Linked DNA regions of Alligator mississippiensis. The protein of the gene in region 3 interacts with the protein of the main gene of each other region in a pairwise test. Links are inferred from orthologs where the notes say so. Each region holds a gene or a part of one and is shown on either strand. Other genes may lie near its edges.

The links. The genes of interacting proteins can lie anywhere in the genome.
Region 1: the proteins of EGFR (region 3) and EPS8 interact in binary tests that used the Homo sapiens proteins (3 or more experiments, as listed by UniProt). The link is inferred for Alligator mississippiensis from reciprocal best matches to the Homo sapiens genes EGFR and EPS8.
Region 2: the proteins of EGFR (region 3) and PTPRA interact in binary tests that used the Homo sapiens proteins (3 or more experiments, as listed by UniProt). The link is inferred for Alligator mississippiensis from reciprocal best matches to the Homo sapiens genes EGFR and PTPRA.

The regions. Positions count from the first base shown.
Region 1 is NC_081827.1:120,372,263-120,378,723, forward strand, and holds the start of EPS8 (epidermal growth factor receptor kinase substrate 8), read right to left. Parts: upstream 4,188-6,461; 5' UTR 4,010-4,187; intron 1-4,009. UniProt on the Homo sapiens protein: Signaling adapter that controls various cellular protrusions by regulating actin cytoskeleton dynamics and architecture. Depending on its association with other signal transducers, can regulate different processes.
Region 2 is NC_081825.1:7,935,510-7,941,970, forward strand, and holds the start of PTPRA (receptor-type tyrosine-protein phosphatase alpha), read right to left. Parts: upstream 3,866-6,461; 5' UTR 3,724-3,865; intron 1-3,723. UniProt on the Homo sapiens protein: Tyrosine protein phosphatase which is involved in integrin-mediated focal adhesion formation.
Region 3 is NC_081828.1:121,542,924-121,549,384, reverse strand, and holds the start of EGFR (epidermal growth factor receptor), read right to left. Parts: upstream 4,285-6,461; 5' UTR 3,985-4,284; coding exon 3,870-3,984; intron 1-3,869. UniProt on the Homo sapiens protein: Receptor tyrosine kinase binding ligands of the EGF family and activating several signaling cascades to convert extracellular cues into appropriate cellular responses.

The DNA of each region.
Region 1 (6,461 bases), on a different chromosome or scaffold from region 3:
AACCATTGAGAGAACAGATTACCTTGGGTTTAGCAAATCGTGGCCTGACTTGTAAACCTCTGCATAAATGCTCATGGGCAGAGGGAGGGGACATGTGGGGCAACCTGGTCCCCTAAAATGTCCACCTAGCCCCAACTAACTTAAATGAGGCTGGTCCAGGGTGCTTCTGGCAGTGCATAACACTGGCTACTGCCCCCCATGAAAAAAGTTAAACTTTTCCCCAGAATGTTTAGTTTTATATATGCTGGGTTTTTGGTTGTAGCCATGTTGGTCTAAGGACAGAGGCAGGGCAAGGTTCTTTGAGTAGATATGCTATCTTTTGTAGACCAAGTGAATATTTGGCAAAAAGTTCTTGGCAAACTTTCGGGCCCAGTCAGAAGGGTGACTGGGCCCGAAAGCTTGCCAAGAACTCTTTTCCAGCTACTCACTTGGTCTAATAAAAGATGTCATATCTACTCAAAGAATCTTGTCTGCCTACTTTTATTATCCCCTTGACTTGCTTCAAAAATGAGTATCTTAATTTAAGTAGGTATACAAGTCCAGAGGATGAGAAACACATCAGTTACTCAAAACTACACTGGGTACAAGATTTTTCCTGCAGAAATATGGCATTGAAGTGACAATTACCATTTAACTAGGCACTGGGAAGGAAAAAAACAAAAGCTTCAAACATGAAGGCTCAAGGCAACAAGGTGAAAAACAAAACTATGCCACAAAAAAATACAGACCTGACAAAAACTGTTCAAGGCAGTCTAATCCCTAAACCAGTTAGGACATAAGTCTGAGCTACAATGTTTATGTGCTTTGAGACCCAGTGGAAAAGAGAAAGAACTGGGTGCTCTTAAATAGAAAAACTTTGTGTCCACCTACAAACAGAAGTTACATTCTATTCACACCAGGAAAAAAAAAGAAATCAAGCCACACAGATGCAGGAAGCATCTGATTAGGAGGATCAAGATAGTCTTGTACACTGCTCATACTTTAAAGGCCAGAGCTCAAAAGCATTACATTTCTTTTTTTCCTTGTTACCAGTATTCAGGTACAAGAGAAGAGCTTCTGCTACATCCAAAGAAAAAGCTTGGGGAAGTAAGAGCCAAAAGTTTCCCTTCACCTGGCCCAAGCATCTTCTTGCAGGAAATCCTCTTCAAACATTCAGTCATCCATAAGGGAACAGAGATAAGGACTATGAAACAGAAGCAACTAGTAATCACTGAAATTAAAACCAACAAGGATTCTGTCTATGTAGTCTGTACTGCATGGACCTTTAAATTTTCTGTCACTCAACTGCAGTAGTTAAGAAGTTCTTATATTTTAAATACTATTTTAGACATTGGGGCACTAGTTATTTAACTTCAATTGTTTATGCTTTAATAAGCATTCACTTGCAGATGAGAAAATATGACAGTTAACAGGAGTGATATGGCATTTACATCTGGAGTGCAATTGAAAAAAAATCATATTTAAAGTATTAGGTTAAACATTAAATGGAAAACTTTTTTTTTTCCAATCTGTGTATTCGATCAAAAAGTAAGAGTGTTATAACAGCTGTATAATCATTTATGCACAACCTCCCTAACACTCACCAATCATTACAACCTCTTTCTGGTTGGATATTTATTAACTTCTTAATTAAGGGCTTAAAATTGAAACAAGGGAGATTTAGGTCAGCTATTAAGAAGAACTTCCTAACTGCGCTGGTGGCTAAGCTCTGGAATAGATTACCTAGAGAGCTTGTAAGATCTTTGTCATGGGAAGTTCAGTGCAATTTAGATAAAACTATTTCTAGAATGGTTTAGACATAGGTAGTCCTGCCATGACTAGTGGTCTAAACAACATTTTTTGAGGCTCCTTCTAGCCCTGTTTTTCTGTTTCCTAATTGCATCTACAGAGGTCTCTAGGTAGATTATAAATAACAAAAAATAAGAGACTCTGCATCTTGAAGACAGATTCAAAACCAATTTGTATTTGATATTATACATGCAATACAACAGAATGATTTTCAGGAATCATGGAACAACTGAAAACATGCAAAGACAATTGTGGTGATACAGTTCAAAAACCAAAACTGAGTTTGCCTAAGTGGAGTTTTAAATTAAGCATCTCATTGCATGAGCTGATGATGCAAACATGTGAAGAACAGTTATTCACTACCAGCTTACAACAGAGTCATTGTACAAAGAGAATAAACCTGGCCATTTGCTCCAGCGTGACAATAACCAGGTTTGACTAAAAAACTAAATTCTTTACTGATACAAAAACGCCATGGACAAGACAGGATGTAATGAACCTTCCTCGAGTCACGAAAGCCTTTCAAACGAAAGCCTTGGACTCCTCTATTGCCGGTTAAGAACACCTAACATTTCAGATGGAACAATTCTTAAACACTTGTCCGTAGAGAATTTCTTCTGGTGTCCCATGGAAGCAGACTGGGTGACACATGGCACAGACTTCCTAGTTTTCGAGCTGCTAAATACCCAAGCATTCTGCTAATACTACTTTAGTTGAACACTGAAGCAATTTTTGTAGCTGAGATAAGGATGTTGTGCAACTGCTAATGGAAAGAAAAAAATCTGTGTAATGGGAAAGGGGAAAGGGGACCACAAGAACAAGAGGAGAAGTACTTAAGAGAGTGAGCGTTCAGATGTGGTCAGATGTGAGATCATACATCTGAAGACAAGTTTCACCAGAGAAAGCAAAGAGCATTAAGCTCATCCAGAGGTTTTCCTTCTAAATGAAATGGAGTCAGTTCCACTAGTAGCTGCACATCTCTTATTTGACCACAGCCGCTATGGTTTTATGGCTCCCAGCAAAATGTAATCACTGCCTTTAATTTATTCCAACTTGATGTTACAACTAAGGGAACATACAAGTATGGAAACCCATAGCCTTCTCAAGCAAAGCTTTTCTCTTCTCTTTCTTTTTTTCTGTTTTATTTCCATGCCTGCCAGCTTCAAACTAGGGTTCATCTCAAACTACAGAGCTGCTTTTCTGGTGCTCGACCTCAACCCAGAACTGCCCAGTCCTCATCCACCTGGGAACCCATTACATCCTGGATGGGACCAAAAAAATAAATATGGGTACTCTTCACTTAACGTAATCTCGGTTAACGTTGTTTTGTTATTAAGTCACTGATCTATTAGAGAACATACTCATTGAAAGTCGTGCAATGTTCGGTTATAATGTTGTTTGGCTGCCAGCTGCTAGTAGGCAACTACTGTGATGTAATTGGATTTGCTTAAAGTTGCATTTTCAAGAACTTAACTACAATGCTAAGCAAGGAGTAGATGTAAATAAAGAGCTCTTGGCTAAGCACTGCCCAGCCCTTTTAAGCTCAGGGCACCCCTCCAAACATGTCAGCTCCGAGTTTGGTTTCGGGTTTTTTTGGTTTTTTGTTTGGGGGGGGGGGGGGGGGTTGGACTATGGAAAAACTAACGCCGGGGGTTTCTATGGCAAAAAACTCAGAAGGACCCCAACGGGTCCTTGTGACGCTACAGTCTCCTTTGAAATCGCTGCCTTTTATCCTCTGCATCGTATTTGCCCACCTGATGGTGCTGAAACCGCGCGGACCCCTGTGAGAGGATCTCAGGCCCCCTCAGCACCCAGGGGAGGACCTCGAGGCCCCTCGGGGTGCTCCCCCCTCGCCCCGGTGAGAATCAGAGACTTGGGCCATGGACTCGCACAGCCCTGGGGCTGCAAGGAGCCGCTCGGGGCTCACCCAGTGCAAGCCACTGTAGGATCAGCGGGTCCTGGAATGGCAGAGCTTGGAGCCCAGGCGCAGCGGGAGCTGAGGAAGGGGCAGAGGGGCAGGCCCAGGGCCAGGGGCCGCCCTCACAAAGGGGAAGGCGTGCGGGAGGGGCCCCAGCCCCGCGGCGGGAGCGGGGCACCAGGCAGGTCCGCGACCTGCGCCCGGCGGGCTGCCGCCGCACGGCTTGCAGCGAGGGCTCTTGCCCTTCGCCATGTTACGAAGCCTCCGCGCTTCCCGGCTGGTGAGGGCTGCGCAGCCTCTTACCTGGGCCGCGGCTCCCCGGCGCGGGGGAAGGCGACGCCAAGCGGGTCCAGAGCCGAGGCCGCCTCCAGCTCCCGGCGGCGGCTGCACTTTGTTCCGGCGGCGCGGGCAGCTCCGCTCCCAAAGTGCCGCCTCCGCCTCTGCCGCTGCGCCGCCTGCCGGGGGCCGGGCCGTGCTCCGTGCGGCCGCGGGCGAGAGTTGTAGCAAGGGACGAGACGCGCTGTGCTTGGAGGAAGGGCAGGAAACCCCTCCACCCCCGACCCCCTGAGATAAACAGCGGGTACTTTAAAGCTGCCTTCAAAACTGGTCCGCTCTGAAGGCAGGGGCTGGGAAAAGCCAAGTGAAGTTTGTCTCACGGCTGTTACATGTATGCTCACGCGCGCACACACATCAGTACATACACACCTGGGCATGCGTACCTAAACGCGCACACACTCATGCATATATTGTACGCGCGCACATACACGCACACACATGAATATACACATTTACTTACATACTTGTAGGTATACATATATACAATATATATGCATGTGTATTGTCTCATATAAGTATATAAATATCTATATGTCGAGAGATATAGAGCTATATATCTATAGATATAGATCGATCTATGGATCTATATATATTTATTTAGATATAGATGGGTCAATAACTATGGATATATATAGAGAGAGAGAGATCTATAGAGATATCATAGACACTAGGGTTGGAATTTTCAGAAGGTCTCTAGTGCAACCCCCAGCTCAAAGCAGGACCATCCCCAACTAGATCTTCCCAGCCAAAGCTTTGTCTAACCTGTTCTTAAAAACCTCCAAGGATGGAGCTTCCACCACCTCTCTGGGTAACCTGTTCCAATGTTTTAGTACCCTCCTCCTGAGAAAGCTTTTCCTAATATTCAACTTAAACCTCCCTTGCTGCAGCTTGAGACTGTTGCTTCTTGTTCTGTCTTCTGCCATCACTGAGAACAGTCTAGCTCCATCCTCTTTTAAACCCCCTTCAGGTAGTTAGTTGAAGGCTGCTATTAAATCATACAAATATATATACATATACATATATATATATATATATATATATATATATATATATATTAGGGGTGCACCAATAGAGATTTTGGGGACCAATACCAATAGCCAATTTTTAAGGCAGCATATCAGCTGATGCCAATCCAATTTCTGATACGCAGCCTGGCAGCTTGAAGAGCAGTGGCCGACTGGTAAGTCTGTTGTGGTGGAAGGGGCAGGGGCAGGGAAGGCGCATGGGGGGCCCTTGAGACCCTTGTGGTGAGGGAGGGAGAGGGGCTGGGGCAGGACATAGGACAGCCGCGGTTTGTCTGGAGGTTGCAGGGGCAGCTCCCACCACTGCACACACCCTGGGAGGGCATGGGGGGGGTGAGTGCCCCTGGATCTGTACAGGGCAAGGGCAGGCTGCCACTGTGGGCTGGGGCTGGGGCTATGCCAAGCTCTTCCCAGTGAGCAGTTGGGCCAGGCTGCGCTCAGGGTGGGCAGCTGTGGTGCTGGGACGGGAGTTACCAGAGGGGCTGCAGCCACCCCAAAATTCACTGTAGCCCCTTCAAAAACCACCCCTCCCAGCACCACTGCCTGGCCCACCCTGAGTGCAGCCTGGCCCAGCCCTGGCCCCAGCCCGCAGCAGCCCACCCCATACCGCACACATGCAGGGGCATACACTCCCCCATGCCCTCCTGGGGTGCATGCAGCAGCAGGAGCCAGTCCCCTGGCACCCCTCAGATGAGCTGCAGCTCCATCCCATGTCCCATTCCCCACCCTGCCGTACCCCAGCTGGGCAGCACCTGCCCCAGCCCCACTCCTTCCCTCACCACAGGGGCCTCAATCTTCCCTCCCATGCCCCTTCCCTCCCCCTTTCCCTTCCACCACAATAGACTTACCAGCTGGACACAACTCTCCATGCTGCTGAGCTATGCTCTTCCCCACCTATGTGCTACACTGTTGCTGCATGCATGCACAGGGCATTTATCAGCCAAATTATTGGCCACATCAGGCAAAAAAAAAGCCAATTTCCGATACAGTCAACTTTCTGATATTGGACCGATGTATCGGTGGACTTCTAGTATACAATATATGTATATTGGTTCCATCTGGTTCCTGACTCTGCAAGCAATTATGCATAGTCACACATGTATCAGCAGCAGCCCCACCTTTTTTGAGATCTAAATATAGCCTTAGAAGTTGTGGATAGTTTACTCCCTGCTTGTTGTGTCACCAGAATGTCCTGGTCTTTCCTATTTACTGTTGAAGAACCACCTCCCCCTCCCCACCCCCAAAAAGGAACAAGAACTGTTAGGACCTTATTGCATGGCAATTTTGGCTGGAGCTCTTAACCCCTGGATTATCTACACATTAACACCCTAAAGCACTTAAACTGCTGTACCAGTTCCCTTCCAGATTCAAGTTAACTATAGTCCCCCAGCATCCCT
Region 2 (6,461 bases), on a different chromosome or scaffold from region 3:
CTAATCCCCTTCTATCCCCTGCACAGAGCTGGGGCCACAACAGCTCCAGTTAATCTACAGTTTATCACTTTAAATCAATATATTTTGGCTAACAAACACAAACGCTAGAAGAGAAGCTTCTCTCTGCATGGGGGGAGACACAACATTGCTTTACATCTGTCGTATTGTTCTGTAGCAGCAACACCCTGCAGGTTCTAGCTGATCTCCATGCTACCACCTCTCCCATTGTATGCTGTCTTCTAGAAGTCCCTGACCAAACAGAAAACAATTTCACGCATTCAGAATGCTCCCGGCAAGCTGTCCCATCAGCTGAGAGGGGGAAAGGCAGACAGTGTGGTTAATTTTAACTTAACTGAATTATTTAGATGCTGCAAGAGCACTATGAGCTGCACCAAATTAAACTCTGAAGGCCCCCAGCAGGATCAGCGTCTCCCAGCATGAAACTGCAGGCTAGCAAGTTTACAGCAGACAGGATGAACAAAATTCCCTCCCTCCTACCCCGCCTTATACACCCACATCCCCATCCACCTAACCATCTGATTAAAATAGAAACCAGACTTAAATGACCTGGAATTCTTTTTCCCACTGATATCTGCTATACCCAGATTTTAATGTTGCTCCATATTTAGCGAGAGAAAAAAAAAGACTCCCTTCCTTCCTGTCATATTTTCCATCCTTGATGACAACCCAGATCAGAAAAAAGCAGATCTTCATTTAACTGAGGGTTTTCCATCAAAGTACGGGAGAGAAGAATCTTGCTTTAAGAGTTCGATTCATCCCGTAAGGGCGTTCAACACATGCGTTCTCATGTGTGCACGCACAGCGGTACAGCCATGGTATCTTATCTGTACGTGTCTACCCTCCCTGTTCTACATTTTGTAATGGGGAGGGGAAGAGAAAAAATGCTTAAAAGAGAGGGGCCAATCCTTAGCTGTTGAGCATTAGCACAGCTGCACTGACTCGCATGGGAAATGTGTACCTCTCAGGAAGTGGGTCTAATGGACAGATCCAGCACTGGCATAAGTCAGCACAGTTCCCATGCTGATGGGAACCACAGTGGATTTACACAACCTGAGGCTCTCACCCTCAAGCTGCAGGAGTTAGATTTTACTTGCATCAAGTGACATACTTACTTCACACAGGACTGGGAGTTTTTAGCTATGCAACAATAAAGAAATATTAATCATCAAGTGCAGACACTGCGTTCTATATTGTGTAGCCACTTGGTTCCTATACCACGTGCTTTGTCTATGTAGGCATTGTATTTGTGTGCAGTGCCCAGAAGAAGGGAGGAGAAAAAGAAAATTTTAGCTCTTCACCTGTCAGTAAGGCTGACGGCATGTAGAGTGCAGGTTTGGGGGAGAAGGAGGGATTAAATAAAAATGGCCCTCTTCCTTGGAACTCTAGAATGTGAGTGTGTTCACATAACCCCTGCAACAGTGCCCTCATCCACCAGCTTTACTTGTGCCAGGATAAGGTGTTCTTAGTGTTTCGGAGCAACATGCCTTGTGGTTGTACAACAGGGTTGTTTGTGCATCGCTCTAAGATTAGGTTAGACAAGCACTTATATGGGATGGTCTAGATAGGGATGATCCTGCCTTGAGCAGCAGGTTGGACTAGATGACTTCTGGAGGTCCCTTCCAGCCCTACTTTTCTTTGATTCCATTAAAAATTGTGGTTTACTTGCTAACAGCCCTTTTTACCCCCACAGCACATTCAGCTTGGAGTATTAGTTTACATAACATCAAGCCTTGGAAGCTGCACAGATATATCATCACCATTTCACAGATGGAGAAATGGAGGCACAAAGAAGTGAAGTAACTTGTTTAGAAGTTCAGGAAAAGTTACTGGCAGAAAAAGAAAGATGACTCAAGCATACCGCATCCCGGGCCCCTGCTTAAAACTGCAAATCCTCCCTTAAGGAAAAGGGATTTACATGAACACAAAGACAGTTGTGTGCTTGTGACACAATCCTGGGGCACCGGAGGTCTAGCGTCTGTTCCCAGCTCTTCAATGATCCCGCAAATCACTGAACAGGAGTATTGCTTGCAAGGCAGGGAAGCAATTCTTCTGTACTATTCAGCATTGGTGAGGCCTCACCTGGACTACTGCACCCAGTTTTGGACACTGTACATGAAGAAAGAGGTGGAGAAGTTTGAGAGTCTAGCAGAAAACAGCACACATGATCAGAGGTCTAGGAATCACTGCTTATAGGGAAAGGCTGGAAGAACTGGGATTATTTGGTCTGGAAAAGAGAAGATTGAGGAGTGATTTGGTAACAGTCTTCAAATACCTGAAGTGTGGCTATGAAGCGAGCAGCGATAGACTGCAGGGAACAGGACAAGCAGTAATAGGTAGTTTTAAATGGCAACAAGGGAAATGTAGGTTGGATATTAGGAAGAGCTGTCTAACTGTGGGGACAGGTGGGTATTGGAATAGACTGCCTAGAGAAAAAATTGTGAAATGTTCTTTATTGGAAGTTTTTAACAGCAGGTTAGATAAGTGTTTGCCTGGAACAGTTCAGACAAGGCTGGTCCTTCCTTGAGCATGGAGCTGGAGTACATGACCTCCTGAGGTCCTGCCCAGCTCCACCTTTCTACGATTGTAACCCTCAATCCTACTGAAATCACTGAATCATAGAAAATGAGGGCTGGAAGGGAGCTCAGGAGGTGACATCTAGTCCAACCCCCTGCTCCAAGCAGGACCAGCCCCAACTACATCATCCCAGCCAAGGCTGTGTCCTAACCGGGTCTTAAACACCTTCAAGGATGGAGACGCCACCACTTCTCTGGGTAGCCTGTTCCAGCGTTTCACTACCCTCCATATGATAGTCTGTCCTAATATCCAACCTCAACTTTCCTTGCTGCAGCTTGAGCCCATTGCTCCTTGTCCTGTCATCTGCCCCCACTGAGACCAGTCCAGCTCTGTTCTCTTTGCAGCCCCCCTGCAGGGAGGTGAAGGCTGCTATCAATCCCCCTCGGTCTTCTCATCTGCAGACTAAATCAGCCCAGCTCCGTCAGCCTCTCCTCACCAGTCCTGTCCCCCAGCCCCGCAACCATTTTCATTGCCCTCCACTGGGCTCTCTCCAACTTGTCCACCTCCTTTCCATAGCGGGGGGGCCCAAACCCGAACACAGCGCTCCCGATGCGGCCTCACCAGCGCGCGAGCAGGCGGAAAGCACAGGTCCGCACCGATGTCGCTCCGCGCGGGTTTCAGGGTCTGCCACACAAAAAGCTCGTTACACCTCACAGCCCTAACCCCTGCGCCCACATCTGCACGACAGGGATAGCACCGCTTCCTCTCTCGCGGCTTCGCTCTCATCTATTTAAGTTACAAACCCTCCACGGGAGGGTCCCGCTCAGCCCGCGCCAGGCGCTGCACGTAACAACGGCATGCAGCGGCCTCGGAGGATTTACGGAGGCTTTTTAGTTGGTTTTTCACAGTCGAGGATTTCGTTTCCTCTCCTATCGGAGAGCGGGGAGAGGCGGAAACGGCGACAGAGCTGGGCTCAACCCACGCTGCCCCGAACGTCGCATGCGAAAGCCACCGGGGACCTCCAGGGAGCAGGCGGAGACCCCCGCGCGCGCCCACCCGGGGACACGGAGCTGGGCAGCTTCCCCCCTTCCTCTCTGGTCACCCTCCTCCAGGCCCGACCCCGTCCATGATCGCGGTGGGAGTGAGTTGCGGTGGGAGAGGCCGGGCCGCGCTCGCGCTGGCACTCACCCCGCCGCGGGCTGCCCCCGCCGCCGTCACTCCGCAGCGGCCCTCGGCGCCACAGCATGGAGCCCGGCCCCGGCCCGGCCCCGGCCTGCCGGGACGTCGCCCCACGCCGCGGGGCTCGGCGCCGTCAGCAGCGGCTGCGACCGTGCCGCGCGCTCCCCGCCATGGTGCCGCTCCACGCGCGGCGCGCGACTGACAGGCGGGCGGGGGCAGGGGGCGGGGCCACGGCGGCCGTTGGGCGGGGGCAGGGGGCGGGGCCGGGCAGCCGTTGGGCGGGGGGCGTGCCCGGGCCGGCCGTTCAGCAGGGGCGCGGGGAGGGAGGAGCCGCGCCCCTTTCCCGTCCATCAAAGCGGATGGAAGATAAGAGCCGCCCGCCGATTGGCTCTCTCAGAGGCCCGCGCGGATTGGCAGCGCCGGCTCACGCCCTCCCCCCCCCGACAGGCCTGTGCCACGGTGGGCGAGGCCACCGGAATTACCGTATGTCTGCGAACATTTCCACCCGCCATCGGTAACCGAATGCTCTCCTGCGCGAGCGCACCCTCATTTTGGGAACGCAGAACTGGCCTGGTTTGTCAGCAGAGACAATCCTCGCCTCGGGTCAGCTGCTGCGCCGGGCGCGGCTTCACAGCCGGAGTTACAGCCTGACACCATGAGCTGACACCTCTTCTTGGACCAAGAAATCGCAAATAAATAAATACATGAATAAATAAAATCTTTATTTTTTAATTTTTTTAAAAAAAATTAATATTTAAAAAATGTAAAGATAATGTTTATCTTTAAATTTTAATTTTTTTAAATTATCTTGAATTTAAAAAAAATAATTTTTAATTTTTTAAAAAGATTATTTTTATCTATTTTCTTAATTTAAAAAATTAAAAATATCATTTTATCTTTAATTGTTTTCATTTTATTTTTTAAAGATCATTATCTTTACATTTTTTATTAAAAAGATAATTTATCTTTAACTTTAAAAATCTTTAATTTTTCATTTTTTAAAAAACATGGTTTTTATCTTTTTCTTAATTTAAAAAAATTAAAAAGATAATTTTATCTTTATTTTTTCATTTTATTTTTTTTAAATAATCATCTTTAATTTTTTTATTTTTTCAAAAATTTAAAAAGATAATTGTATCTTCAATTTAAAATCATTAATTTTTAATTTTTAAAAATTTTATCTTTATTTTCTTAATTTATTAAAAAATTAAAAATAATTTTATCTTTAATTTTTTCTTTTAAGTTTTTAAAGATTTTTTTCTTTAAATTTTTATTCATTAAAAAATTATAATTTAAAAAATGATGTTTTAATTAAAGATAAGATTATCTTTTTTAATTAAAAAAGATTATCTTTATTTTCTTAATTTAAAAACAACATTCAAATATAATTTTTCTTTATTTTTTATTTTTTAAAAGGATGATTTTTATCTTTATTTTTATATTTTAAAAATAAAACAATTTTGTCTTTAAGTTTTAAACATTTTTTAATTTTGAATTTTTTAACAGATCATTTTTATCTTTTATTTCTTAATTTTTAAAAACAATTTAAAAGATCATTTTATCTTCCATTGTTTTTCATTAAAAAAGAAAATGAACAGATGATTTCTGAGCTGGTCTAATAAAAGGCATCATCTCTGAACCAGGAGTTGTAGAGTTTTGCATTTCTTTCTTGGCTCAGGCCAACACGGCCACCAGACACATCGCTGGAAATGTCTTCAATCCTTACTTGATGCAGCGCAGCAAAACCCGCGCGGCTCCCAGGGAGTCTTAGCCAGGTGCGGGGCTCGCTGTCAGCACTTCCCTACGGCTCCTGCCTCCAAAATAAAGAAATGCTTCACGTTTGATGACCCAGCTCGCACTCACTCGCTGGCAGGTGATAGTGAGAAGTATAAAGTAAATCAAAAGAAGACTTCTTTGCATGGTTATTTGAATCAGTTTTCAGTGTGCATTTTGAGCTTCCAATAGAAGATTTCATATTTCAGACCTGGCAGCACTGGCTGGGCCCCCGCCGGGTGTGCAGTGCCTGGGGCAGGCTCCTCTTCGCCTCCTGGCCTTGCTCCCAGCCCTGGGTGGGTGCACCCTGCTGGGGGCTGCTGCCCCGGGCTCCTGCAGGCCCCCACCCTCAGAGTACCTTGGTGCCCCCCAGTCCGAACGGGAAGCACCGGGGGGAACTGGCCTGGTTTTGTGCCTTCTGCATGTGCCTCCCAGAGATCAGGCCTCGTCCTCCAGTGAGAAGCGCCTAGGTGAAGCCCCAGCCCCTCATCTCCTGAAGTCACGGTGTCTTGACCCGTCCCCCGCGGCTCATCCAGCACGCACATCCAGCGCTGCTCCATTAAGGCATTGAGTCCTACTTTTCCTACCGACTTCACGTCGTTAAAAGGGTAGCGTGGGGATCCGACGGTTCGTCTCCCTTCTGATGTTGGCATCTTGTCCGTAGGCTCTTCCGGACAGGCCTTGTGCTCTTGCTGGACGCCGGGGCAATCAGATCGTGTTCCTGAGTGCAGCTGTGCCCACGGGAGCATCCCAAAATCACAAGCGGGGTTCCCCAAATCATGCTGTATCTGGGGGTTTTTTGCTTGGCTGTCTGTTGTGGAGAGCCGTGGGGTATGCTTAGGTCATGTGTTCAAGCTTTTGTTTGCAACCGCAGGAGCTAGGGTTTTCCTTTTTCAGATGAAAGCAGAGATCCTCTAATGATAACCCGATGCCACGGCTGGGTCTTAAAGAAAAACACAGAATAACACAAAAAG
Region 3 (6,461 bases):
CACTATGATGCCTGACGAAGGGTTTTTGAACCCGAAAGCTTGCTTAATAACTATTCTCCAACCATTTGGTTTGGTTTAATAAAAGATATCAAATTCACGCAAGGAACCTTGACAGCACTATGAGGCACTCCCTGAAAGACTCTCTCTAAATTAACAAGTGAATTACAATGGACTGCTTGGATTGCAAAGTCTCTAAGGTAGGGACCTTGTTTCCTTACTTGCTTGTAAAGCTTCGAATATATACCCATAATGCAATAAACATACTAGCATTTACTGTTTTCATCTCTGGGTATAGTTTATTCATCTCAAACAGACACATTTAACTTTAGAGTCTCATCTTACCAACAATACCTTTTTCCCGTATGGTACATCTCTACCCAACTTTCTCCCCATGAAAAAGATCAAATCCTTACCAAAAGTATGAAAAGCAAGGGTTGAACTGAGTGTACATTTCCTGAATTTTTACTGCTTTATCCCTCCCTCCTTGTATAGCAGAAATTTACCTTGAAAGCGCAGAATTGCATACTAATATGAGTATAAGACGTTTTATTTGTACTTAAGGCACTCATGTAAAGGCTGGTCCCCAAACAGTTTTTGACCAAAACAAGCTACACCACTGTAAACTCTATCACTGTATCCACACTAAAAGATTGCACCAATTTAACAATTTCAGCTTCCTAACTAATGCAATTAAAACATTACCTAGAAGGTAATGAACTCCAACATGCTGGATACAATGGGAAACCAAAACAGGACTTCTACAATTCATGACTACCAAACATTTCCCCTTGCACGTGCCCAAAGTACAACGTTGGGATGCTCCTCATTACTGTATGGTGCAGGGTGGTTAAAAATCAATGATTTTATTTAAAAAATAAAACATCTGAAATAAAAGTTTTTTAAATGTAATCATATTTTTAAATTCTTGTTGTTAACATGCTTTTAAAAAAATAAACTGACATAAAGATAGTTTTAAGATACGTTAAAGTTCAAAGATATCATCATGGAATAGGGATTATAACTTCTAATTATGCACTATTTGAGACAATATATTCACGTAACCTTTTTACAAGTTTTACATATAGGTCACAACAGGCATGGACTATATTAGGGGCCCAATCATGTGGCTCCTATATAGATTAGTAAAAATTAAAGAAAACCATTCTACCCAATGGTACTCAGTGCTCAGTCTAGAGTCTAGCCTCTAGTCTAGACGATCCCGTTAAGCATCTCTGTGATGCTTAGTTTCAGTTCTCAAACTATGGATTTGTCTCTCCAAAGATCATAGGCAGACAAGGTTCTTTGGGCAGATGTGCTATCTTTTATTAGACCAACTAAATAGTTGGAAAAATTGTTCTTTGCAAACCTTTGGGCATAACTGCCCTTCTTCAGGCATAAGACTGAGTTTGTTGTCTCCAGAGATAACATCCTTGTTAACAGCAGTATATGGAGATGAGAGATAACAAACCTGATTACCTACCCATCAGCCCTCTGTCTCTCTGCAAGTGTGTACACACACAGTCAGGCCCTTACCTTTCTCTAAAAGTGCAAAGTTTCAAGAAGTTCAATTAATAAAGGATATCAAACAACAAGAATGCACTTTTTGTAGAAAACAATGATTAAATCGAGACTTCTGATGCATGATTTAAATTGTGTTTTAAATCAGGATTTAAATGGATTTGATTTGTCAGATCCACCCTGCTACAGTGCACAGTAGAATAGCCAAAAACAGAAAATAAAAATTACCAGCACAAAACTGATGATACAAGAGTGAAAAGCACTTTATTTGAATTGTGCTACCACTGAACAGTTACACTCCAAGTTACCATTGATCAGCTTCCCTAGACAGTAAATATTGTTCCTATTGCCACCCAGCAGCTTCTGATCTCATCCATGCATTAGGGAAAGACCAAATGAATTTTATTGTGATAATTTCAGTTTATACTATTGTATGCAAGCTACAGACTAATCCTAATCAATCCATAAAAGCCTTCAAGAACCACATCTTGCTTGGTTTCAGAACGTGCACAATTCCTGTTTGTTTTTTAAAGCACAGCAGCATCACAAAGTATTTCGTTGTTCCCCCGGCCATATTTAAGGGTTTTTTTCTTCAAACATTTTGGAAAAAGATAAAAACTATTATTAAAAGTGATCTCCGTGATCAAAACAAATTTAAGTCTTGTCCATTTTCAATAATTTTCTAACAAACATTGTGTTAGCATCCTTTTTTGAGACATCAGCTCTTTGTATGTAGTGATGTTCAAATAAAACTGTTAATGGGTTTAGTTGCAAGTATTTCCAACTGAAAACATATGTCCAAAAAAGTTTATTATAACACTTCATCATTTTCTACTGCTGGGCAGGTTCATGACAATGCGACTGCATTTTGCATTTCAGGGTCCATGGGTTCAAAAGGCCAACAGGATTTTGAGGAGGTAAGTTTGGGAGTCTTAAAGAACATTGGTTCAACCTTCCTCTGACAACTTAGAATTAACATTTGGAGTTATTATTTTACAATTCTCAAGTAAGGCAGGATTCCTGCATTACTAATTTCAATGGTAGTTTTATTATTTACTTCAACAGCAGCGCAAACAAGCACTTTCCTACTAGTCTTTAGTGACTGTACATTACAGTGAAAAATGAACTGAGCCAACAGGACATCCAAAAGAAGTACTGCCTTTTAACAACGTTAGGTCTTGATCTCTTTCAGACTCAAAGAGCTATTGCCAAACCAAGCACATTGAGAATAAATCCTGCTGGTCCCCATTTCCTTACTGCCAACCCGTTATAATCATAAGACAACTACTACCTGATTTTTGCAAGCTTGCTTTAAACAGCATGTAAGCTATAGTGTTTATCCATAGGGATATATATATCCGGTAGAGTCTCTGCAACTCAGATAAGAGTTTTCTCTGGGCCACAGCGCAGAGACCACTTACTTCATTTAAAAAAAAAAAGTTGAGGGGGGAAAATGAAGGGAGGAAAAAGGGGGAAAAGGGGGAAGGAAAAAGAGGGGGGAGAGGAGGAGGGGAGGAGGGAAAATAACCTGCCCTTGTTATATCCACAGCGGGTATGAACTCACTCCTGAGGGATTCAAATAGGGCAACTAGTAAGTAGTTTCAAAAAAGGTGGGGTTCTCCTTTGCCCGATGGTTTTGCCAGGCACAAGATGCAGATCCCCTTGAGCCCAGCTCCCACATCAGACCTTATAAAAACCACAAGTGTCCCCTCCCCCCTCCTTCCCGGCTTTTTCCTTTAAAAAAAAAAAAAAAGTTTTATTTTTTTTTAAGTGTTTGGCAGATGTTCAAGATAAAGACGCCTCTGCCTGGAACCGAAGCTGCTCTGCCTGCTCTTACAAAAGAGCCAGCCGGACCAGCCAGGGACTCTTCCCCCTCCTCCTGCCTTGCAACCGGTTCCCCATGGAAGCCTCAGCCCCTGTCACAACCGCCCGGGCCCGCTCAGGGACACGCACACACACGCGCCCAGCTGACAGCCCGCCAGAGACGCGCGGCTCATTCATAAAGACAGCCGGCGCGCGTAGCGCTCGCCCCTCGGCCAGGAGCAGAACTCAGCCAAGGTTCCAAGAGGCGGATATAGAACGCGGCGAGCGTTCCGAGGGGAAGGAACAGAACGTAGCGAGGGTTCCAAAAGGGCTCGGAATAGAACGCCGCGAGCATTCCGCGGGGGGGATAGAACGTAGTGAGAGTTCGCGGGGCGGGGGGAATAGAACGTAGCGAGCGTTCCAAGAGGGGGCAGAACTTAGCGAGGATAACACAGGGGGAACAGAACGTAACGAGGGATGGGGGGTCCCGCCTGGGGGGCCTCGAGCCACACGAGGGGGGGAGCCCGCGGCTGGGGGGCTGCACGCACCTTTCTTCTCCTCCACGGCGGAGCACGGCCCGAGCAGCAGCAGCAGGATAGCGGCTGCCCCGGCCCGGCCGGCTCTGGCTCCTGCGCCCAGGCGGCGGCTCCTGCTGTCCCGCATCCCGGCGCTGCCGCTGCTGCTGCTGTAATCCCGTGGCTGGTGCTGCTGCTCTCAGCCCCGCGCGCCCGGGCTCCCGGCGGCCGCCACTGCACTGCCCATGCTGCAGGGGGGCGGGCACGGACTCGGGAGGAGGCGGCGCTGCTGCTGGGCTGGGCTGGAGAGGGGGGAGCTGCGGGTCGCAGCCGCCGGCCCCACGCGGGCGCTGGGTCGGGCCGGGGGTGGCTGCGGTCTTCCTCCGCCGGGAGCTCCGCCCGGGCCGCCTCGCTCGCCAAAACTTTCCCCTGCTGCCGGCGGGGCGGGGACGCTGGCGCTGCTGCCCCGCCAGGTGCCACCCCCACCGCCTGCCTCACCTGGCGGGGTGGAGCCGGGGACAAGCTCCTCCTCGGGGGCAGCAGGGCTTTGCCCCCTGTTCCGGGCGCCTCGGCGCCCTCTCCCGGCCAGCTCTGACGGAAGGCGGCCCGGCTTGCCCGGGCCTGGAGCTGGCTCTCATGCCCCTCAAGGCGCCTCTCCCTTGGAGCCCCCACCCCGCGCTCAAGAAAAGCTCTTCCTTAGCCACCACAGACCGAAAACAGAGCAGTTCTCTTGCAAAAGGAAGGACTTCCTAGGGGGAAGAGAGGTGCCAACCCTGCATTCCCAGAAACAGGCACCAGCTGCAATTGGGACTTCCCACATTTGTATAGAAAAGCCATAGGGGTTAGGGACACAAAGGCAGTCCCAATTCACAGCACAGCTCTGGCGACCTCCCCTGCTTCCTCGTGCCCTTTCAAACCTGTTAGGCAGGATTTCCTAGGGGGATATTTTTCTTGCCCCCCCCCCCACCCGGAATGAAGGGAGGCAAGCTTTCCAGGGTCTGGATTACACTTTGACTCTTGGAGGGGGCTGGAAAAAAAAAATTGGGGTGCCTATCATGATGCTATAATAAAAACGAAGACCCTCCCCTCAAGTTATGATTTTCAACTCTTACAGGGTGGGGGGGCTTCTGTCTCTTATGGGGTGGCTCAGCCATGGAGCTCCCCCGGTAATTCAAACCCTGAAGCTTTCCAGTTTAAGACCACCTTCCTTAGGTCTTTGAATATAGGCATCCTAGAGGAGGGGTGAGGGGAAATGTGCAGGTCTAGCAGACACACTGAGCAGATAAAAGCACCCAAGTCCTGGGAGATCAAGGCCTATCAAAGGGGGAGGAATAGGGGAGGATCAGGAAGGAGGTCTGAAATCTTGTCTAATTCTATCCCAGCTCCATAGCTGCTCCAATAAAACAGATCGCCTGCAGAAATCCTTGCCTCCTCACATCACTTCTGGTCTGTCACGCATACAATGTTACTCTTATTGCTACTGTTTTTCTGTTGCAAAGAGGGCAAGCAGGTCCCAACAGGGCAGGCAAGGTTTAGCCCTGCAGGTTCATCATTGAAGCCTCTGGGTTTCTAATTATGTTTGCCCACCCAACAGCAGTAGAGAGGATCTCTCCCTCCAATGGAGAATCACCAGCCTAGAGCCACCAGTGAAATTCCAGCCACCTCTCAGACCCCACTGCCTCACTCAGCCAGTCACAGAGCTGGTGCCTTCCCTGGCTATATCAGAGGCTACCTGCAACCCCAGTGGGAATGGGTAACTAGTTTGGCTTGAGTGGAGTGACTCCTGCCTTCCACTTGTGCCAGGGAAATCAAACTCCCTTCCCTTCCCTCAGGTGCATGCCTAGGTGTGCTGGCAGAAAGGCAATGCTATATCATGCTGGTTACAAGGAGAGAATAGCAGCAGCTGGCCCAGAACTTTATCAGAGAAAGGGGGTGGGGGAGAGAAGAAACCTGATAAAAGGTAATTGTGGGTGATTGGAGCTACAGGATAAATTAGTCTTGGTTTTCATCACTTCCAAAATAGAGTGTTACTAAAGGTTGAAATAAAAAATGCTAAGAAGCTTGGAGAAGGAGCTGACCCAGGGGGAAGAAGCCAAGTTTGTCAATAATTACCTTCTGAAGTTAATGATTTAAAAGATTAGGACACAGTACCAGCTCCTACTCTCACTCAAGTGGACTGGAGTTTTGCCACTGCCTTCTGCAGGATGGATCCTGCTCACGTTGCATGTACGTTTACCCCCACTACTTAAAAAAGTTGGTGACACAGGAGGACAAAGTTAAGAAAAATGCCACTGTTTCTGTGCATCACTTATTCCACAGGAAACTCAGAATCTCTTTGCCACTGGCCTTACTTCAGACTAATAGTTTTTTACCATAGTATAAATATATGTTCCTGCTTCCACTTGTCTTCTGGATAGGGGCCTTTGCCTTTCACAGAAATCAAAATTTCCCCTAAAAAAAAAAAAATCTGTAAAAATGTCATGTCCCTAAGGAATTTGAATCAAGCCTCATGTCTGTTATTTCTATTTTCCTCCTCAGACAAGACATTAAATAGTGTATAAATTATACAGATTTAGTACTTTGCTTATACTGCGTTACTGTGATATCCATAATATTTACTATCTA